Schizosaccharomyces pombe: one gene and its partners. The protein of the gene in region 4 binds, or shares a complex with, the protein of the main gene of each other region. Each region holds a gene or a part of one and is shown on either strand. Other genes may lie near its edges. The genes, in order: ssr4, snf22, rsc7 and arp42.

What was found.
Region 1: arp42 (region 4) and ssr4 share a complex: the UniProt entries of both Schizosaccharomyces pombe proteins name them as parts of the RSC complex.
Region 2: arp42 (region 4) and snf22 share a complex: the UniProt entries of both Schizosaccharomyces pombe proteins name them as parts of the SWI/SNF global transcription activator complex.
Region 3: arp42 (region 4) and rsc7 share a complex: the UniProt entries of both Schizosaccharomyces pombe proteins name them as parts of the RSC complex.

The regions. Positions count from the first base shown.
Region 1 is NC_003423.3:2,002,028-2,006,402, reverse strand, and holds ssr4 (SWI/SNF and RSC complex subunit Ssr4), read right to left. Parts: upstream 2,708-4,375; 5' UTR 2,688-2,707; coding exon 2,529-2,687; intron 2,482-2,528; coding exon 2,338-2,481; intron 2,315-2,337; exon of another isoform or gene 2,189-2,314; coding exon 1,304-2,188; 3' UTR 1,019-1,303; coding exon of another isoform or gene 688-1,018; 3' UTR 648-687; coding exon of another isoform or gene 622-647; 3' UTR 541-621; downstream 1-540. Other genes in the region: mtm1 (Mn(2+) ion transporter), read right to left, coding at 1-435; SPOM_SPBP23A10.17 (uncharacterized protein), read left to right, coding at 622-647, 688-1,018; anaphase-promoting complex cullin family subunit Apc2, read right to left, coding at 3,134-3,323, 3,369-3,988, 4,033-4,375. UniProt on the Schizosaccharomyces pombe protein: Component of the chromatin structure remodeling complex (RSC), which is involved in transcription regulation and nucleosome positioning. Controls particularly membrane and organelle development genes.
Region 2 is NC_003421.2:2,172,214-2,180,232, forward strand, and holds the start of snf22 (SWI/SNF ATP-dependent chromatin remodeler Snf22), read right to left. Parts: upstream 6,028-8,019; 5' UTR 5,453-6,027; coding exon 410-5,452; 3' UTR 104-409; coding exon of another isoform or gene 1-103. Other genes in the region: SPOM_SPCC1620.13 (phosphoglycerate mutase family protein), read left to right, coding at 1-103. UniProt on the Schizosaccharomyces pombe protein: Helicase. Component of the SWI/SNF complex, an ATP-dependent chromatin remodeling complex, required for the positive and negative regulation of gene expression of a large number of genes.
Region 3 is NC_003421.2:1,387,113-1,392,604, reverse strand, and holds rsc7 (RSC complex subunit Rsc7), read right to left. Parts: upstream 3,901-5,492; 5' UTR 3,808-3,900; coding exon 2,635-3,807; 3' UTR 517-2,634; downstream 1-516. Other genes in the region: akr7 (pyridoxal reductase), read right to left, coding at 4,802-5,492. UniProt on the Schizosaccharomyces pombe protein: Component of the chromatin structure remodeling complex (RSC), which is involved in transcription regulation and nucleosome positioning. Controls particularly membrane and organelle development genes.
Region 4 is NC_003424.3:4,351,823-4,357,008, reverse strand, and holds arp42 (SWI/SNF and RSC complex subunit Arp42), read left to right. Parts: upstream 1-1,748; 5' UTR 1,749-1,832; coding exon 1,833-1,836; exon of another isoform or gene 1,837-1,912; coding exon 1,913-3,183; 3' UTR 3,184-3,431; coding exon of another isoform or gene 3,432-3,599; 3' UTR 3,600-3,649; coding exon of another isoform or gene 3,650-4,495; 3' UTR 4,496-4,676; downstream 4,677-5,186. Other genes in the region: cell wall and ascospore endo-1,3-beta-glucanase Eng2, read left to right, coding at 1-1,306; U1 snRNP-associated protein Usp108, read right to left, coding at 3,432-3,599, 3,650-4,495; pup1 (proteasome core particle subunit beta 2), read right to left, coding at 5,075-5,186. UniProt on the Schizosaccharomyces pombe protein: Component of the chromatin structure remodeling complex (RSC), which is involved in transcription regulation and nucleosome positioning. Controls particularly membrane and organelle development genes.

The DNA of each region.
Region 1 (4,375 bases), on a different chromosome or scaffold from region 4:
AGATGCTCCTGCGATTGCAGCAGCAGCAGGAAAGCCCCAATCACTGTATAAGGGAAGTAATTGCTCATACCCAAGAAACTGTACAGTGTTTGCTGGCAAGAGCATTGTCAATGAAGGAACTAATCCACGCCACAAGCTTCTAACACCTTCATGCCGAGCGATCTGATAAAGTCCGGATACCGGGCCTCCTAAAGGCTTTGGAGCTGGCCTTCCCTTCCCCAATATCTTTGCTGAAGAAATGGGTTGCGTAGAAGAATATTGAGAAATAGATTCACTCTGCAAGCGGGTTTTCACAACATCTAAAGGCGTTACAGTCAGCGTTGTAATTACACTTCCTACACAAGCTGACAGCATTTTCGCTATAGGCTTCACATCGGGCTCAGCATTCACCGACAAGTCAGCTTCTACGCCTTCTGTCGCAGCTCCTATCTGCATGTATTCTCTCTGACTCTGTTTGTGTTCCTGTCATCTTCATTACGAAGCACCGTCCTTTCATCTACGAAGTCGTAGTTAAACTTCATTAAACCAAATAACGTTATGCAATGCACTATCATATATCTGGTCTGAGAGTTCTGTCTTAATAAGGTAGAAACGGCTATGGTACTTAGAACAGTCAATTGAATGAAGATGTCGTATCTACGAAGTGGGTGTGTGATGATATGCCTATTACTACTTGCTAATTATTAGAATCGTAGGGTTTCTTGCAGGTGCGAGTTTGAGCTATGCTGCCGGGGTCCAGGCATTGATTTCCACCAGTAAACAGAACAAAGACGAGCTCTTAACTGCAACTGAAGCGTTAGAAACTGATAAACAACTTTATAAGAAAATAGAAAAAAAGATTGAAGAATTAGAGTCAAGCTGTGTCAAAAAAAGTAGTTGGGAAATTCAGGAAAGCGAATGGAAGGCTATGTTCCAGACAATGCGTGTTGAATACTTGGAACTACTGGAAAAACAAAAGACTCTAGGGGAAGTACTAAATAAGCTTGTTGAAGATCGGCAAACAAAATTCCAGTTTTGATATGAAGCGCATCGTCCTTATACTATGTATGAAATTATTCGGAACCATACTCTTAACTATCTACCTGTCATTATAAAATATTTCATTTTTCTGTCACCTTCACCCAATCCTCCTAAAACAAGGTAAAAAAATTCGATGTAGGAATATCAGTGCTTGTTTGTTTACCCTAATGACAATGGCATTCTATCATTAAGCGACAAGGCTTTAAAGTAGGACGTACGTACTTTTCAAATCTTCTTTCTGATTAGCCTCAACATGTTTTTTCTATACTACACTTTAAATCTTCTATGATCTTTCCGTAACGTGACTTAAAGGAACGATTTTGGCTTCAGCGAACTCCTCAATTTTTTTTTGTAAGACATCACATTCTTCTGCCGACTTGATGTTGGAAAATTCTTTTAATAAGTTGGACATGCTATCAGTGTAGGAAAGATCACCTTGGAGACTTTGATACTTCTGATCTTGTTTTACAAGTTGCTCCTTGTTATCTTTCAACTCTTTACCAAGTTCTTCCATTGAATTAGGTTCTTGCCATAGTGCTGGAGGTTCGATGTCTTTGACTGATTGAAGTGTCAAAAGTACTTGACTCATCCATTCTGCGTGTTTGATAAATCGAGCCGTACAAATTTGTTGCGGAGAAAGTTTATCCATAACATCACCCTTTTCAATCTCTAAATCCTCTTGCATTAGAATTGAAGTATTGCCATTTGGAGGAATGGATGGCTTGTTCATGTTATCGACTGTCATATTCGTTGCACCCATGTGTCCTTCTGCAGTCTGTGCTGTTGCATTAGAATTGATAGGAGGAACAGGAGACGTAGTAACATTAGAGAACGATGGAGTCCTTGATTGGGACTTCATCTGAGCAGATCCCATATTTGGCAAGGTTTCTCTCTGTGATAAAGCTGTACCTTCTGGAATATGTTTTTTTGGTTCTTGAAGCAAAAATGGAGAAGTTTTAACGTCTGGTAAAGGGTATCGTCGTAAATGAGGTGGTTTGGCAACTGATATATTCGCAGGAATGCTATCAGTTTCTGAACCTTGAAAATAGTGTACAAGCCAAAAATTATCAAAACCAACTCCTAATAATCGATATCGGCATCTAACATGCATAGTTCGAGTTTCAGATAGTGGATAAAAACCGTGTTTTGCTTCATGAATTTCTAGTACCTATCGTATTGTATTAGTAAACTTATAAATTCAGTAAAATAATAATTTATTTGAAGCATTTATTTTAAAATAAACGGGGATACACATATGCAAGTTCCTAGACAATTGCTTAATGATCCCTTATACCGCAGTGCTTGTGAGCAACTTACCTTTCCTGCAACGTCCATATTAAAAAACCTTTCATTGCTCATAAAATGCATTCCATCTGGTGGAGATGGTAATGTAGGTGCTTGCCAAACTAAAAACAAGGAACCATCTGGTGGTTGATCTATGAGAGTCCAAGAAAATGAAATCTAAAATTTGTTAGAAAAAACATATATTGAAGTCTTCTAAAAACTACCTGTGGTAAAGCCTGGGACGCTTTTGTTAATATATCTACGACAGCAGGGATTGGTAATTGTGGTGCTGGTGGATATGGTAAATTCGCTCGACACCATACCTGAGATCGGTATTCCACTGGAATCGATAATAGACTCTGAGCTGCCATTGTAGCCGCCATTGTTGATTTTAATTATATGTAAGTTTTGGATGGTACAACTTACTCATATCTATCAAGATGCAGAAGTTTTGGCTTTGTTCTGTTGCACTATTTCATATAACGATGTTACATCAGTTTTCACTGTTTAAATGAAATTTCTAATATTTACAGTATCTATACGAAACTCTAGGTAATGTATAAACATACTCTAGTGTCTCTGTGTTCATTACAACTATCTTGATCAGATCCGTTTAACCATCGTAGAATCGTAAATAGCTAAACAAGAGCATGAATGTAAAGACATACTTAAATAGTAACAGTTAGCTGCTAATCATTAGTAGACAATATGCCAATAGACATGCAATGTATAAGTGATGGTTTTCGTAAAATTAAATGAGATGTCCATAAAAAAGTTCATAAAAATCCCAAGGCTTTTCTTAACAGACAAAGGATTCTATAGCCATTAATTATTTGAGCTTATAAGCTCCTCCAGTAAACTCCAACTTTTCCTCTTTGATCATTAATGCTAGAAATTCTCTTAGCTCGCTCTGGGTACGAGTATAGCCGTTTGGCGGTGGGATAAACATCGTGAGCATGTTGTGAATTCGTTCAAGCTCAAGAGCTCCAAGGTTCGTCAACATTCCTACAACAAAAGACCTTTTTTTATTAATTACAAATTTTAGTTTTAATAAAGAAACATACCAGTAAACACGCATCTCAGCGGCACTGCTTTCGGCTTCACTTTGAACAGCTGATACCCCTTGGATTTCATCAAGTACAGTTTCTGTCGCGGTTTCGGCTTCAGTTTCACGAACACGATATCGGTCGTCGCCGATGTCGGTAAGCACTCGATGATGAAGCCAAAATTTCAAATGTCGCTCAACTATTTCTTTCGGCTGATCTAAAAGTTCAGCAGCTTTCTCAATATGTAATGTAGAAGTCTCTTCAAAAAGTGATATAAAGGCAGCTTGCTCCGGTGTAACTGTCAACGTGAGTGTTCTATCCTCAAGCTCAATTTCCAACTCTACCGATCCTAAGTTGGGTAAAAAAACAAGCTCCCTTTTTCTCTTTCTTTCTCTGTATTCTTCAGCATATGCATCGAGTTCTTTTTTCAGAGGGCCAGGTAAATGAAAATATCGAACAGACAAAGTAGGCCAAAATAATCTTGATAAAATAGTTACGTGCAAACCTTTCGAAACATAGTTCTCCATGTGGATGCTCTGATCAATAAATCTTGAATTCTCAATATCGTTCAGCATAACACTACACATTTGCAGAACAGTCTCTCCAAATCGATACTTTAAAAACTCTATATTTTTTGCCTAAAAAACGTTAGAAAATTCAACTTAAATAGAATAAAACAAACCTCAACTTCATAATGATAATCTGTAAGTTGTAAAAGTCGATCAGCTAGTAACAATTGTAATTCCTTCACTAAGGGCTCCTTGCTTTTAAAAATGGAAATGAGACTTCCAACAACGTCTCTATCGGTTGGTTTTTTAAAGTCAGGAGCCGCATCAATCGGATCCGGCATCCAGTGGTAATTATCAAATCGATCCGTTGTTGAGTCGATGTTTTCAGTGGGAATTTGAGAAAGCTCAGAGCGTAGGCCTTTTTCACCGTCAACAAACAATAAGGAAACCAAGCATTTATATGCATCTTCTCGTTCATTTAGAAAAGAACGAATGGGTTTGGCAGCTTTGTCTAAA
Region 2 (8,019 bases), on a different chromosome or scaffold from region 4:
CAATTCTCATTTGCGTGGTATCAAACGAACCCGCAAGTTAGGCAGCTCTACATACGACTCCAAACAGAAACCGATTACAGAATTTTGTAGCAAGCTAAATTAAAAATGTGTGTAACTATTCACCTTTAATTAAATTAAGACATCATTTGTAACAGGTGAAACACAAATCTATACTCAAGTATATCAATGCTTTTTTAATTGTTGAAGTAATCTTCTGTAATAAATAAAATTGAATTCTTTTAAGAAATAAACATATATATTATACAGGCTTAGACATTTAGAAGAATAACTCGTGATTGACTAAGTCTTCACTGAGCTTTGAAGTCGCAATAGTCCTCACCTAACAAAATGTACCAAAATATTATAAACAAGGCATTAAAATAAAACGACAAAAGGTAAAACGTTAGTCCTACTCCGAATAAGAAGAAGAAGAATCTTCATAAGTAATAACTTTGTCATCTTCGGCGCTTACTATACCAGAATCCAACGGTAGCTCTGCTTCAGAGTTTTCCAAAAAGACAAGAGATGCTTGTTCCTCATTTAAAGCCTCTTCCTCATATGCATGCAAAGAATTGTTTTTTTCTAAATCTTCAATCACCTCCTTTAGAGTTTTTTCCATTAATTTTGCATCCTCGTAAACAATTGAATGCTCTTCATTATAGGTATATGCATTATTAAACATGAGCATAAAATCTGCAATCAGTTCTCCAACATCTCCATAACGGTCATTCTTAATATTCCTTTTAATTTTTCCAAGAGCTATGGGTCGTTTAATTATTATATAGTAATCAGGGTAAAGTTTGCGGTTGGGAGGATAAAGGAAAAGACCATTAACGAATCTGCCGTCTTCACTTTGAAGATTATACAGCCTTTCAAAGATTTCCATACAATATCTTCTAAGTGCCTTCTGCTTATATGAAGGTGTATTTTTTCGACCACTTCTGGCCAAACTGGATTCTTGTGATAAAGGGGTTGATAGACTAGAGCCTGAGTTTGTTTTTTTTCTCGGTCGACCTCTTTTACGCGGCATTAGAGTGGAAGATGGATCGTCAACTGTATTTAATTCGTCGAGGGTTAATTCCGTATAACTGATAGAATTACGACGACGTCGCTTTCTTTCGAGATACTGATCCTCCAACTCACTAGAGCTTTGAACTGCAAAACTGTCAACCTCGACTTTATAAAAGTCAGGAAGTTCATTTACAGTAAGTAAACGTTCCAGCGGTTTACCTTTACCATATATATCGGTAGCTGCACGTTCTTTATCTAATTTTTTAAAAAGTACGAGCTCTTCATCTGTTCTAGAAATCAACTCGTTCAACTCATCATCTTGAAGTTCGCCGTAAGTTAAGTCATGATCATCGTCGCCATCATGTTCAAGTAAAGAACGTAAAAAAGCTTCACGCTCCTCAGGTGTAGACTTGTTGTCAAACTTACCAGCTTGGATAACTTTTCCATCAAGGTCAAGCTTATACTGAGCTCGAGAAAGAATGTTCTCTTCAATAGACTTTTCCGTGATCAAACGGAGAATTCGCACCTCTTTGGTCTGCCCGATACGATGAGCACGATCTTGAGCTTGCAAATCCTGATGGGGATTCCAATCGGTATCAAAAATTATGACAGTGTCAGCAGTTTGTAAGTTGAGACCCAACCCACCAGCACGAGTACTAAGCATGAAAATGTAAACATCTGACTTTGGATCGTTGAACTGTGCAAGAAGGGAGCATCGATCGTCAGATTTTGTTGAACCATCTAAACGAAGATATTTCCAATTCTTTGATCGCAAATAATCCTCCATTATAGTCATGATCTGAGTCATTTGAAAGAACATAAGGGTTTTATGACCTGTTAAAAACAGCTTTGGAAGAATACGATCTAACAGCTCAAACTTGCCAGCAGCTCTCCAAAGCAAGTCGACGTTAGTTCCGGATGGATCGATGGCTCTTTCAACATCTTCAAATATGAACGGATGATTGCATATCTTCTTAAGTTGCATAACCGTGTTCTGTAGTCCTTTAATACCCGTTTTTCCTTTCTCACCATCCACAAAAAGCATACCATGCTTCTTCATTTGTTGGTACAATTTTAATTGCAAGCCTGAAAGAGGGCACTTGATGACTTTCTCAACCTTGTCGGGTAGCTCCTTTTCGACGTCTTTTTTAAGTCTTCGGAACAAAAATGGTCGAAGGACTTTATGCAAACGTTTTATAATAAGTAAAGCTTCTTCTTCATTAAGCCCTATTTTATCTTGTCCACCAGTATTAGCAAAAGGTGTATTGAACCATTCATCAAAACTTTTAATTGAATTGAAGATTTTTGGTAAGACAAAGTTAAGAAGAGCCCAAAGCTCTGGTAGGTTATTTTGCAAAGGTGTACCAGTCAAAATGAGACGATACTGGGAATGATAATAAGTAGATAAAGTACTCGTTAACTTTGATTGGGTATTTTTTATACGGTGCCCTTCATCTATAATCATGTGAACCCATTTAATCCGAGAAAGTAAAGGACGATCCTTAATGATATATTCAAATGTGGTGAGCAAGACGTTGAAATTGCTAGATCGGATTTGGGATTGTAATGTTTTTCTCAATTGCGGAGGGCCTTTATAAGCTATTTTCTTAACACTGGGAGCCCATTTTTCGAATTCCATAATCCAATTTGTTAGAGTAGACAATGGTACTATAATAAGAAATGGTCCTTGCTGATTTTTTTTCTCAATCAAATATGTGATAAACGCAATAGTTTGGATTGTTTTACCCAAACCCATCTCGTCAGCCAGGATCCCATTGAGGTTGTTATTGTATAGCGACAACATCCATTCAAGACCCTTCAATTGATAGTCTTTTAGAGTGCCACCAACAAAAATCTTTGGCTGCTCAACCTCTTCATGAATACGGTGAGCCACTTTAAAATAATCAAGATTCTTATCTTCCTCACTAATTGGGGCTTCTAATTCGGCAGAATTGCTACCTTTTCCAGAAGTATTTCCACTGTGAATATTGGATTGTTGAATCCGGACGGCACGTGTAAGATTTTCCAAATACTGATCAGTTTGTTTTAAAAGATGAGTGATACGAGTATCTTTCGCCTTGTCTAGTAACTGCAAATATGCGGCTTCGTCATCAGCACGGAGAGCCTGTAATCTTTGACGAGCACTACGTTCGATTCGTTTTTTCTCTTCCTTTTCTAGATGGGCATGAAAATTTATAATATCCTTGCATCGCTGAGTTTTAGCTTTATTCTGCTTGTCCACTTTTGTCACAATTGACTTTCTGTGCAGCATGATAGACCTTAGGTGAGTTAGAAGCTTTTCTTTTTGTCTCATGGCATGTTCGGTTTTTTGTTTCTCAGCAAGGGCTAAAACTAAATTGGCTTCTTGCATCGTTTGCCGTTTCACGTTTCGAAACATAAGTCTTAAATTTCCTGCAGCCAAACTATCCGAGTGAGGAATGACTGAATTTATTGTCTCGCGTAGAGATCGTTGTTTTTCTAATAAACGCAGACAACGCAACTCAATCATTGATTTTGACTTGTCTTGTTGCAATATTTTTTTGTTCACCGACTTTGGCCTGTTCTCCTTTTCTAGAAAATCAATTCTGTTAGCAATTGAACAAGCAATTGCAATCTCAGAAGAGAGAAAAACATCATCCCATGATATACTAGGAGGCAAGAGTGATGGGATGAGCGATAGGTTTTCCGAAGAGGAAAACTTACTGAAGGGAATAGGCGTTTTAACATAAGTTCTTGGATCTACGCAAGAAGAGTAGTTGACGTTTGTGGGAAACTGTGCTCTTTTAGCAACCTCGGTTTTTCCAGTCGACTGTTGTAACGGCATAGGTGAAACTGATGGTTTTGCAAGAGACTCATTCTTGACAGGAATCGTAGCAGAATAGGCTCGTCTTTGAAATTGATTTGGAATATTCTGAATGTAGGGTGCCTTAGAGGTACGCATGTTTGCATCTCTTGTAGGAGTATCCTTCTTTACAGACGACATTTGAGGAACGTTTTGCTGAAATGGCATTGAAGGAGAAACTTCATTCGAAGCTCCATAGACCCTGCCAAATATGGCTTGTTGCACAGCAGGAGGGACTTGTCCATTTGGGGAATTCAAACAGTTATATGCAACTATCTGACTTTTCAGCATAGCAAGTTGAGCATGATTAAGTTTGGAAGTAGGAGGCACTTTTGCAGAAGGTACGTGAGATTGTGTTTTTAAAGCTGATGCGGAGGGTGAGGGAGACATTCGAGGTATATGCTGCGCAGACTTCACAGTATTTGGATCTACTGAAGGTGATCGAGATGAAGAAGGTTGAAAAGAAGTTGCAGAAGGCGGTAGGTTATTTCTATATACATATGGTGCCGGGGAATTAGAAGAAGATTGAAAGTATGTTTTAGCATTAATAGCATCAAGGTTAGAGGGCTGAGGATAGGGAAAATGCGAACCGGCTGCACCAACGTCTACAGTAGCCGTAGAGTTAAAAGGAGTATTTGGATTTGCGGAAGAAGGGAGCTTCGAATGAGCAAAGGAAGCAGCATCATTCTGATACCCGTTGTATGGAGAAGCCAACATAGAACCAGACGGAGGGGAAGAAGCTGAGAAAGTTGATGGGTTTACAGGTATCGAGCCTCTTCGGCCCATTTGCTGCTGCATCGAGACATTAGCAGGTATATTCCTAGCACTAAAGCTGTGAGAACTTGATGTTGTATCAACTGACGGAGCTCTCGATTGAACTGTATGTGGTTGTTCAAATGTGGACGAAGGGGAGGCAAAGGAATGAGGAAGAGAGGAATTGACAGTAGTGTCGTTAGCAGGTGGATAAGGTGTGGTAGGAGGAAAAGAGTTATTCATACGAGAACCATTTTTCATCATGGATGCCATATCATAAGCATTATGATAAGTGGGATTGGAGGTGTTTTGTTGGGATAGTTGGTTCGCATACACTTTCAAATTATTACTATTCGCATTCGTATTTGTATGTGGATGAACCATACTAGGTGCAGGAGGTACTGAAGTATCCCTTTGTAAAGGAGCATTCATAATGTTTGGCGATGCTTGACTATTCATGTAGGAAGGATTGTTTAATCCGACATTTCCATTGCCAGGGTTAGGAGGGGTTGGTCCATTAGAAGCAGGCCTACCAGGAAGAGTTTGCATACCAGCTTTTCCTTCTGGGAGATTGTTAAATCCTGTAGTAGGAAGAGTATCCTGCTGCTTTCGAAGATTGGTGTTCTCAGCATCAGGAAATTCAGAAGATTGGTTCCGCATCTGCTGCATACGGGCATAATGAGCTCTTTGAACCATCCTTAAAATGGAACTAATTTGAGCAAACTCGGGGTTATTTTCCTCCGTAGCACCTTGGTTTCTCATTACCTGCCATTGTTGATAAAGAGATTGTATATTATCCTTGGTCAACCCTTTCGGAAATTTCTGATTCCCTTGAACAGCAAACATCGGAGAAATGTGTTTTAGTAAATCGCAAATCAATATTACAACAACAATGACCGAAAACCCTCAACGTACAAATGGATAATTTGGTGCACTTAAAAAACAACGAGAGAAAAAGTTTAATAAAGATTACTTTAAAAGAAAAAACAAATCCCTTTAAAAAAAAATTTCAATTGAGTAACTTTGACCTTTAAGAAAGAGATCGCGTCTTTCAACAAAGTATTAAAATTTAAAGCGTTAAAGTATAGAGTGAAAAAAGAAACCAGAAGGACCCAGCTTTAGAAAATATACAGTGTAGAAAGAAAAGAACTTTTTAAATAAACATATAGGCTTCAATTGAATAAATAATAGAGGAAAAAGGGGAAATGTGGGTCTACGAGATTGAAGATGGCGGTTGGTGGCAGGAAGAATAGAAAACAAAAGCAGCACACGGTAGTGAGAAGCAACGAAAAGAGTCTGCAACCTCAATCAATTTGCAAACACAGCAGAGTAAAAGATTAAAAAGCATGGTTTGATTAAAAAAAGTACAATCACCCTAGTGAAGCAAAACTTGAAGGGAAACCGAAGGCCAGCTCATCCTTAAAAAAAAAAAAAAACCCCTCCAGTTTAATTTGACGATTTATGGATCATAATTACGTTGCGTTATATAGTAATAACGTCAACTTTTTTTTTTCGGAAAAGATTAGCATTGCGAAATAAAAAATAGGATGCTAAATAAACTAGCAAACTATGTGTTAGATTGCATAAACGAAGATATAATGAGAGATGCAAAGCGTACTCAAATTCGTTTACCATTGTAGTGTACAGACACTGTTTCGCGGTGAGCTAGCATTCTTCAATTCAATCCACCACATATCCGATATATACGAAATGAATGAAACAGTGAATCAATGCAAATGTGAATGATCAAGATAGAAGGTACATTTTTTCTTGAATGTAGAGAAAAATGTGGGGAAGGTGTATTTGCTAAAAAGTGGATGAGTGAGTTTCAGAGCTTTCGTTCGTTGAACGAAGCAAGCCAAAAAAAATAAAAAAAAGACTCCAAAGAAAATACGAGGGGAATGCAAGCATTTAAAGGAATAAATACTTGCGAATGCGGAAATCGACTTATTCTCGGTATAAACAGACGACGGCACTAATGGGGTTCCCCTGAAAATAAGAAGGTTAAAGACCACAATATACCATCGGCTTGGCAGTCAACAAAACATCCTTGAAATTTTCAAACTTGAAAACTAATAAAAGAGGAAATTAATTAGAATCGTATAGATTAGGATAAGCTGATAAAATGTATCTTATAGAATATATGACAATTACTCATTAACAGTAATTGTAGAGAACTTGGCTATCATAATGCTTTTCCATACAATTTGTTTTAAAAAAGTGAAAGGGAAAGGATTGGAAAATACAGGTAATGAAATAAATATATCAGTACGATAGACGAGGCAGGGAACATTAAATCATTTGCATTGATTTTCCAAATTTTGAATGGTGCAATAACTAATCGGATTGGGAACTCGGCGTAAAGTGGTAAACCAGTAAGTGAGAAAGATGTCTGGATCCGCAAATTTTGTAATCTGTCAAAGGAAGAAGTGGACCCTTTTAGAATGTGCAGTCTAATGAAAATCATGATTTCCTACTTAACATAAGAGAGTATATCTTTCCCATGAAAAATGATTCAAAGAGACCACTTGCAAAACTTACCAACCCAAAAGCAATTTCAGGTCTGGTTTTAGTAGCAGTATATATTGGTTAAAAGGTTTTGAAAGGAAGATGTATTTGTATTTCCTGAATCATATGCATGGATTCATTAAGACATGCATACTATCAAGGAGGAAAAAGGATGCTGTAAGACATAATTAACTATGGGTCACTATCGTAATGGGATAGATGGTTTTCGGGGATTAAAAGCATGTAATTAATTTTCCTACTCTGCTGATAATCAATTCCCAATACCATATATGAATTTCGAAATCCTTTGGTTTACTTTCAATCATCTGCCTAACTTAACATCGAAAATTCGGATCTCATCAACCGCAATTAACTTCTGCTACCTTTTTTGCCCATCTGTCCAACCTGCCTAAATGTATTTTTTTTTTATTTGCCTAATTGCGTTCTCTATATACACTCGCTATATGCTCTACTGTAGTAGGTCCACGTACGCTATTAATTAAGTTTCCACACTTGCTTGCAATTGAATAGGTTATTTCTCAGCACACAACTCACAAATCCTCGTTATATATTGCTACGTACTCCGTAGATTTGCTTAAACCATGGTTTAACTAGAGTGAATTCTGTGGCATAGAATGAACGATAAATGTAGTTTAGTGTTTTTTCCACATAATCCTTCATACTCTGCATTCAACCAGATGAAAGTAAAGAACAGGAGCGAGTGATATAAGCGGGATCATCGCAAAAATATATACCGTACAGATTTAATAATTTCTATTATGTCTGTCAGCTATGCAACTCGGTATCTGCTTTAACGTTACGTAAAAGAGCGACGAGCTTCATTGCGATCTACTATATGATGGCATGCAATATATAATTGTAACAGATGAGGTAATTATTGTTAT
Region 3 (5,492 bases), on a different chromosome or scaffold from region 4:
CTTTTAACAACTAGCAATAATATAATGCATTTTTAATCCTTTTAAAATTCTTTATAAAAAATCTGTTTTGTATGATGATTGTTAATTAAAGTAATGAATGATTATTTGGGTTTTACAGCGGTAGTCGTTATTGAATGAATACGATGTAGGGATTTTGAATAGAGTCGTTTTCGAAAGTAACTCTTTTTACTTCAGTCAACTTACAGTGCTTAGACTTTTAATTTCTCATAATTAAACAATTTAAATTATCAACACAAAACAGCTTGTCGAGACGAAATGAGTATGGTAGTTAAAACTTTGAAAATTCGAGATTCTCGTTTCTTTTTTATTATTATTGCTTATTTAATTATCTATTTTTGTTTCATCTCAAGTTATAAAAGTTAAATTCTTCTTTATTGCAATTGTAAGCTACTGGACACTATTTATTCTTTTGCACAAAGTTAAAAGAAATTGAGCGGGCATTTCCATTTTTGTTGTTCTCAACAATACTATACAAGTCACTTTACAAAAATGGTATTAGGCGGGATACGTGTACATTTTATTTGTAGACTCAAAATTGTATATAAAAATTCATTCTTCATACTACGGCTTTTTCAGAAATCTCTCAATATTCATCTAGCTCATGTTTTTTGCAAAGAATATTGAGTTTATAAGTACCAAAAATAAACACGACACAAACAACTATGAAGTTTATGCTGTTCAGTATTATGTCAGTTCCGGCAGACGGCGTGCTCCAACCTTGGTCCACTGTTAACTTTATACAAAATATGAGCAAGATGAATGCACTTTAAAAATTTGAAGGTCCCAAAAATGTAAAATTAATAACATAATCCTCAAATCAATTATTGGCAGCTCCTTAGGTTTTCTAGTCAACCAAATTCCTCATAAGCAATGCCTTGAGCCAAAGAGTCAGACCGATGATGAAAATATATCTAATGATCCTCTATAAATACACTCCAGTCTTTATGACTGAACCTGATCAACGTCACGGAATGAATGCCAAATAAGTTTTATTGCGGTGATTAGCAATTCACATTGAGCTTCTTCCTTCTGAGATTTTTTTTCTTTGGTAATTTCCTAAAAGCTAATTTTGTAAGTTTAACAGCTTATGTGTTCTCATACTTCACCACCCATTCTATGGAAACTTGAATTTCGTTAATTTTTCCATTAAAGCTAGTATGCTGAAGCGTTGTTTCTTAGAAAAACATTGAATAAGGTGACTAAATGATTGAATTTATACGTTATTTTTCTTCAATTTCTGTCCGTCAAAATATCTTGTAAAATAATCCATTACTTCTCTAGTGATTTCAATATCGAACTTTTTAAGAGTATAAAAAATCATGGCAATAATAGATACAATATTGATAGTGTTAAAGATGAAATCGGCAACAGCAACGAGTGATAAATCTGTACCATTTTCCAGATTCGATGATTCAATAGTTACTATAAAAATGATAAAGCGGTAAAGCACATTGTATCCGCAATGAAAAGAGATAAAAACAGTAAAATTATCAGTTTGGTCTTTTATAGAATAATAACTTTGTTTGTCAATCCATTCTCTGCACTCGACGTTTGGAAGTTGTGATCGAAATTCTTGCAGTTAAATGGATCCTCTTGCACTCATTGCTTCGTAATCAAAACAGACTAAGTAAACAAAAAATCTTAGGACACAAGGAAATGGATGAATGTAAAATGCCAAAAAAATCATAGCTTTCAGTCCATAGAAGATTTATTACGTCGAATGATCTCACTATTTAATATTGATGAGATACATTTTGCGACACACCTTGGACTTGAAAATTAGTCCATTCTTTTTTTTTTATTTGTCGTGAAGAGCCATTTTTTTATTTACCGTTCTCGTCTGCTTAAAACGCTCTTTTTTTTTGAAGCACGTTACACGAATATCTACTTCTCTCGGTTTCATCATCATGGCAGGGTACGACAGGATAGCAGTAAGAGGTGAGCTCACATATAAAATGTACACCCAGGCGACGATGAAGAAGTTTATCATTCTTCGACAATTCGGGTATGTTTTCCTTGTCCTCCACTTGGTTGCTTATATTGTCGACCTGGTGTATTATTTGAAGGGATTCAATGGTTTTTTCTTTATAATGTGGATGGTGATCGGTTTTGCTTATTTAATATTCATTATAACAGCAATCGTTCTTCTCACAAATACTCCTTCGCCAAAGCCACGTTTTGACTTACCTAAAGTTTTTAACCTACGACCTGACCATGCCCAATAATTCATCAAACAATCCTCCATAATATTCTTCGCCCTCGGCTGGACCGATTAGGACAAGTGAGAGGATACAAGCTAATCGATTGGTTTCGGTTGGTAAACGTTTCATTCAATGGAAACGTCGCGCCATCATTTCTTTAATAGTTTTGTTGAATGTACATCTGATTTTTGTAGACAATATCTTTTTTTCCGCTTTACTAAGCAAAAACAAAGTACTAAAGTAATTGATTAACAAGTTTTGGATTTCGTTAACGCATGTTTTCTCCGTAAATAACTCGAGTAAGAAGATAATTCGGGCTTACGTCGTACGTGTGATAAATGACTGTATACAATCTGAAAATTAATATTATAAAACATCCAAAACAAAATAGGATTAAAAGAAAACGAGCACTCTAGTACATGCTATTCAAACGAATACTACGAATCTCTTGTTCTTGACGTTTGCGAATAGCCTCTTGAACGTGGAGTGGACAACTCGCATAAACGGAGGGAGGGATATTTGCAATAGACACCTGTGGAGCCACATCCGAGTTAAGAGCAACGAGAATATCCAATTTAGGTGCAGGACATTCCGTACCAGTCTTTGCCTGAATCCAATGGGTTTTTGTAGGTTGGGTATTAAGGGGAACATGCAACAAGTTAGTATGTGGTTCAAAATAACCGATATCCTGTTTTTGAACAAGGTATTTTGTAATATCATTATTGTAAGCTGCAGTTGCTTTAGCATGTTGAAAAAGCCATGTGGCATCTTTTGGAGGTTCCTTTTTTCTTTTTCGAGCAGCTGCAGGCAGCTGAGCTTCTAGTGAAGGCTGCGGGTGATATACTGCACTAGCTCCATGCCAAGCGACGTATTGATTTCGATTGTATGGCATACCGGGAGGAGGCAATTTATCGTCTGGATCAGCTAATTCTCCTTCGACGAAACCACGAGCGCGGAATTCTCCTTCCCAGTAATCGTCTACAATTCGTCGACCACCAACGATGATTCTAGCACCAAATTCACGAAAGATAGAACGAGCAGCAACAATACCTACCGCACGGCCTTTGTAAGAATGAGGAATAATATTTCGTTCAATAAGGTCCCATTTCTCAGAATCATCAACAATAATTTTATGCAGTGAACGATGCTTCAAAAATAATAAATACGAATCTCTATAGCCCATTGCTCTCGCTGGTTCGGTGGAAAGCATATACAATCGATTACCACGACCTAAGCACGTGAACGTTCGACATCTATACTCTCGACCGCCATTCAAATACCCCAATTCATTCACTTTTTTCTCTCCTTCTGGATCTACTACACCAAAGTTTAGCTCATCATCTTCCAAAGTAGCCCGATGTGAGTACAAATCCTTCGGTACTACTGTTGAGCTAGAAGACGGCGCTGAAACTCTAGGGCGAGTATTACGATTTCTACGACGCGTACGCCCAGAGTATTCTTCATCATCATCATCACTACTTCCATATGCGGCGTAACTACCCTTAGGAGGGCGTCCTCTTCGCTTCTTCGAGCTTACCGTGTGATTTGTAGGAGTGGAAGCATCGGAGCCAGCCGTAGAATCCATACTTTAATTGCAAGGTGTTTATTCCATAAACAGTTCAATCTTATCGTACTGAATAGCACTGTGTTAAAAATTGCTTTTTTTGGTGGTGAGTTTGGTTATAGTTAGCACAACTACCACTAAACCCATCCTACTGTTAGTAACGCATACCTTGGTGCTACATGTTATACTGATACAAGCAGCCTACTATTTAGATAACTAAATATCAAAAGCATATTGGCGGAAACAATAAGAGTAAGAATGATGATCGTCTTCCTAGATGCAGGATTGAAAACACCTAAGAAATGAGTAACGATTGTCAGTCGTAGAAGATACTAGCAGTTAAATAAAATACTTTCTACTACACCGCTTTTTGAAGCACCATAATACGTTGGGTTTTCATTGTTGTATTGAATTCAAAAATGAATCTCCAGCCTTGGCAACCAATTCAATGTAAATTCTTATCGCAATTAATAATCGAGCGTAACCTATCTGTAGATAATTCCTATTGATTAAAATAAGTTTCAAGAAAATGATTGAAGCATCGCGCTTATTGACATCTCATTTTGTGCATCGTCGACTAGACCGAAATAACCGTAGACCATCATAATACTTTAGGGTTGAATTTATATCAAGGCTACAATTTCGTTCCTAAATTACTTTATGCAGAGCAGTTGACATTCTAAAAAATTGTGTCACCAAAGTCATGATTATTCTGTGTAAAGGAAGTTTCTGATTATTCAATTATACCCAAAGCTTATTGAAAGTTTTCTTGTTCCTTACACTACCTTACTTTCTATTTTTTACACAGTGTAAGATAAATCACTGACAATAGAGAATAATATATAAAGGTGTGAATAAACTCAAAGACTACAGTCTTAGTTTTTAAAGAAATATTTTATTGTATTGATGCCGATAGGATGACACAGCATGTATACATCTAAATCTAGAGAGGAGTTAAGGTTAAATGCAAATATTAAATAAAAAACTCAAATCGGTGAAGTTGCTAAAATCATGCTCAGATGGAAAGGGTGGATTCAAGTTGTTTGTTGTAACGAAGTCCAAAGATTTGATGTTTATCCAAAACTTTTTTAGCCTCTTCAAGTTGTTCTGAACTCAAAGATTTCTTGAGTGCACTAAGATTGCTCTCAGCTCGTTGAACAGTTGTAGATCCAGGAATAGGAATGATCATGCCTTTTCCGTTTGCAATAATGAAGTTAAGAGCGAATTCAGGCATACTCATACCAAACTTTTGAGCCAATTGCTCGACTGCTTTAAGAAACGGGATATTTTTTTCAAAAACTTTTGGATTAAACTTGTCCATATTCCGTAAGAAGGGAAATGCTTTGATAAAGTCTTTAAGATCTTCAGCAGTCTTGACACGCCCAGTTAAAAGTCCATGACAGAAAGGCGCGTAAGCGATTATTGGGATAGAGAGCTGTGTACAAGTATCGAGAATGCCATTTTTCTCGATATCTCGTGAGAATAGAGAGTATTCGGTTTCGACTGCCGCAATAGGCACGATGGCAAGGGCGCGTTTGATGCTTTCAGCAGAAGCCTCGCTAAGACCGACACATGAAATTTCTCCTGAGTCTACAAAAGCCTTCAATGCTTTCATGGTAGTTTCAATTGGAACTTTGTGATCAACTCGGGCACATTGGAAGAGATCTAGCTTTTTCTTTCCACGTAAACGAGTAAGTGCATTTTTT
Region 4 (5,186 bases):
TTTCGCTACAGCTGGATATACTAACTTAAATCCGCTAATGTTTGCTCTTCCCCATCATATGCAAAGTTTTGGTTCTGACACTCAAGCGTACAAAACAGGTTTAGGCTTAGCCAGTACAACAATGGGTATAATGTTTGCCTATGCTACTAAAACTTGGCATTTAATCGAAAAAAATCTTCCAACGCAGGTAGGTTTTTTACCAATTCCTTGGAATGGTGGAAGCAATACGTATTCTCCTACTGCTTTAGCCGCGATTCGTGCAGCTTGTGCAACTGATATTAACTTCGATGTCGTAAATGCCAGTAACCTTGACTCAATGTACACGTCTGGAAAAATAGTAGCCATGTATGCTCAAGTTTGTTTGGTAGCTTCTAGAATCCTTGGTGATAGCACTCTCACTAACACTGGATTGACAAAATTGAAGCAAGCCATGGCTAGATTTACTACGAATACGCAAATGTATCCCCTCGTTTATGATACCACATATAAAGGTATCATCAGTACGGCAGGATATAGTTCTCCTTTAGCAGATTATGGTAATACCTACTATAATGACCATCATTTTCACTGGGGTTATCATATTTACGCATGTGCGGTAATTGGTCTATTGGATCCTTCCTGGCTGGTTAATGATAACATTCGCTATGTAAATGCTTTATTAAGAGACAGTGCAAATCCAAGTGAAAGTGACACCTATTTTGCTATGTTTAGAAACTTCGACTGGTTTGTTGGACATTCATGGGCAACAGGTATATTTGAAAGTGGAGACGGTAAAGATGAAGAGTCAACCTCAGAAGACTTCAACTTTCTGTATGCAACGAAATTGTGGGGTATGGTGAGAAATGATACTGTTCTTATCAACCGTGCAAACTTGATGCTCGCCGTCCTAAAGAACAGTTTAAATACCTACATATACATGACACCCACTACTTCAGTACAGCCTTCACAAATTCTCGGCAATTACGTGACAGGAATTACATTCATGAACAAAGTTGATTATGCAACTTACTTTTCAGCTGAAGAATATTGTAAACAAGGCATTCACATGATTCCAACTACGCCTATCAGCGGATACCTTCGTTCTCCATCTTACGTTCAACAAGACTGGAACGCCAAAATTGCTCCGATAATAAATACATTTTCAAACAATTGGACTGGTATTTTATGGTCCAATTATGCAATTTACGATCCAAAAACTGCATACAATACCTTTGCTGCCAGTACCTTTACTGCTGATAAAATTGATAACGGAGCTAGTAAAACCTGGTACTTAGCTATGGCTGCTGGTATGGGTGGATCACCATGATGGCAAGGGAGCTAATGAAAAACTGAAGCATTACTTTTCGTTTCAAAATTATGTAACCATTTCAAAACAACACATAGAGAGAGCTACCTATTAGCTTTTTAAAACACTATCATTTGTTTTAAAGTTTTAATGAAATACTAATACTATGAAATAGAAAACGTAGCTATTAATGCAAAAAAACTGCTTATTCAAGTTGGCTTACTTCGAAGTTTTCCATAAATATTAAAGACAGAAAATTACTTTTTCGCTTCTGCATTGTTTTAAAACATTAACTAGTTCAATGGCTTAAGAAACAAATAAATGAATATTTCTAAAGTATATGATCAAAAAAGCCGTAAATTGTAGAGTTCACTATTCACGACTACTGAACGCCTTAACACTTTCAACGATGCATTAAATTTCTTTATATAGTATTGCTATCCAACACACGAAACTAAGGTTTACGAGACTAATAATTATATAATTCCTGCATCTACTAAAAGGATATTTTATCCATTTAAAACTATACTAAACTATTTACATAGACATGGGTAAGTGCGGTTAATCAACCATAATATGTGTTGAGACGAAGACAATGGCATGAAATGGCTAATGACCATACTTTAGAGGAAATTCCGTCATTGGTAATAGATCCTGGGAGTTGTTGGACAAGATTTGGTTATGCAGGAGAAGAAAGTCCGATGACTATCTTACCTTCATATTACGGTGTTCGATCTGATGTGACTGGTCGAAATAAATATGTTGTTGATGAGTTACAAATTCATGCTCCTATCCCAGGAATGGAAGTCAAAAACGGAAAAAGTAATGGGATTATACAAGATTGGGAATCTACTTTGTACACGTGGGAGCGTGGACTGAAAGAAAAACTACAGGTAAATCCCACAGAGTATGCTATGATGATTACTGAGCCTAGCTGGAATCCGCAATCTGTTAGACAACAAATCATGGAAGCTGCTTTCGAGCAACTTCATGTTCCTGCTTTTTATTTGACAAAACAAGCTGTTTGCGTGGCATTTGCCAATAGCAAATCTACAGCGCTAATTGTCGATATAGGCTCAGATAATGCTAGCGTTACTCCTGTTGTCGATGGATTGATTATACGCAAAGGAATTTTTAAACAAAGTTTAGCTGGCGACTTTTTGAATGCTAATATTGAGCAATTGTTTAATACTATGAACATAGAATTTCCTCCACACTATAGAATTGCTAGAAAATCGGTTGCCATTCAACAATCAGGTAATATGGCTAACGGCAGCGCAGATGCCGTGAAACCAGCTGTACTGTATCCACCTATTCAAGATCTTACCTCTTCTTACGAAATTTTTCAGAAGCGTAGGGTCATAGAAGAATGGAAAGAAAGCGTTTTAGATGTTTTGGATACCCCGTTTGATGAAGCAAAAGCATCCTCTAGAAACCCTAAGCCTTTTGAATTTCCGGATGGGGTTACACATAAGTTTGGTCAAGAGAGGTTTCGCATTAGTGAAATACTCTTTAATCCCTCGTTTTCAGCCAGCAGAAGTGCTGAAACAACGCCTCCACAGGGTTCCGTGGGTCTTCATGAACTTGTTTATCAATCCATCCTTGCTTGCGACTCTGAATTACGTTCTCCTCTATTGAACAACATTGTAGTTACCGGAGGAACTTCCTTAATACCTGGATTATCAGAAAGGTTACAAGCTGAGGTTCAGCGGTTGGCTACTGGAAGTCGCATCAATGTTCATACCGCAGAAACCGCTTCTGCCACAAGCAACGCCGTTTGGTTTGGTGGCTCAATTCTTGCTAGTTTGGATAATTTTCAACATTTGTGGGTATCTAAGCAAGAGTACGATGAAGTAGGTGTTGACAGAGCTTTGTTTGTTGAGAAAAGATGCAAGTAATCCGCCTGTGTTATTTGCTCACAAAAAATAAAGTCTTCAAAACCCAAGAGAGTATAAAATAAATTTACGAAATCTCGCATAACACGTCCATAATTCTTTCTTTTTTGCTGAGCTTTATCAACGTTGTATATAACAAAATCAAATACCCAAAGTGCTTCGAATTAATTATTAAATCTAATTTAACATAAATGTATGAAACAATTCTAATTTCAAGCAAAATTGTCAGAAACATTCTAAAGCTTTTTTTTTTACTTTCTGCCTAACGATATAAGAGCAGCATAAAGTTGCATTAAAGCAGATTGATTAGCTTCCGAGGTACCAACAACCGAAATAAACTTCTCATTGCTGTTTGAGTCTGATTCCTCAACAGTTATGTTAGCATTTGTATTCTGAGATATTTCCATCAGTTTATGAGGCTAGAACAATATAGTTAGTATACTTATCTGAAATATTTATAAGAGCTTACCATAGCGTGATAAAGTTGATCGAGTAAAGAAGATGGAACGGACATTTTCTGAGATACGACTTGGGTTGCAGCTATATTTAAAGGAATCGAGGGTCCAGAGTGAGGAAATACTTGAGTGGTTCGAAGGGGATCAGGATTTCCTCCGGCACTAGTGAGAGCTATAGGAGGGATTCCATAAGGGTTTTCAGGTGTTACCATACTACTCATATGATTAAATTGTGTAAAAGTAGAAGGCGAACCATATATGCCATATGCAGCATCTGGAATGTAAGGTACAACGCTAACGCGGGGAATGAAAGAAATTCTTGAAAGGATGTATTTTAATAAAGTTTCAATAACAACTGAAGCATCTATTTCATTAGTTTCCAAGGTAACCAGTCTTTCAGAGGATCTGGGTAGGAGAGATGCTGAGTATAAAAGCTTGGTTGAATTGGAAACAGAAAACAAAGAAGGAATTAAGTTCTGGTGAATCAGAACTTTTGAACCCAATATTAAAGATGATACTGCTAAATTGATGTTCAAGGAAGCGTCTTCTTCTTTAGTAGGAGTGACAACTTTTATAAGTGCAGGTATACTAGAAGCAAGGTTTGAAACACTTGAAGTGCATATGAATATCTTTCTAGCAGTATTTGAAGAAGAGTATGTCTCTACACGAACTTGGCCATTTTTTAATATTTCCTGTTGAATATCCTGCGGTAACAAATTCCATTCTTGGACTTGCTGAGCAGTTAACACTAATCGAACGCGACATTCATTTTCATTGTCTCCAAAAGTTTGGGCAGCTGTTAAAACGGGAGGTCGAAGAATGTCCGCTGAAATTGAAACCACTGATGTACCAGAGTCCATATTGGATATCTCTTAGTTGGCAATTTGGATATTGCTGCATACAACGGTGTTCCATCTACGTAGGAAGAAGTGCGTTATTCTTCGCTATGCAATCAATTTTTTGAAATATAGAAATCTACAAGTTTTCATATTATTTTATGCTTTCACAATTGATAACAGTTATAATTATTGATTTATCACAGTTGGTTATTGTAAAGAGTATGCATATAAGCAACACTAACAAACGATGGACTCGGTTTAAACCAACGAACTCGCACAGTTTCAAAACTGAAACGAAGTAGATATGTATCGCTCACTTAGTAATTAGATTATTGAGGTTTGATGATCTCATATTTGTCATTACATGGTAGGCTTTTTACCAACAAACGTAACAATTTTATCTATTTACTCAGACGAAAGTTTAAGAAATGCGTTGCCGTAAGGAGAGTAGTAAAAATAGTTTTCTATAATAATCAAATTTTGTGAAGCATCAGAAAAACTTTATTTAAATCTCAAATAGAACATAAAAACGATAATCAGCGAGAGGAGCTGCAACATATAGGTATCATGGCCTTATAGTAAGCCTTATAGATGCAAAATCTATACATCAACTTGCATTTCATCAAGATCTTGAACAGTTACGAACTTGTAAATGTCCTCTTTCAGAACTGCAGTGGTGCCGCGATCATAGGTGTACTTAGATTGTTTTGTT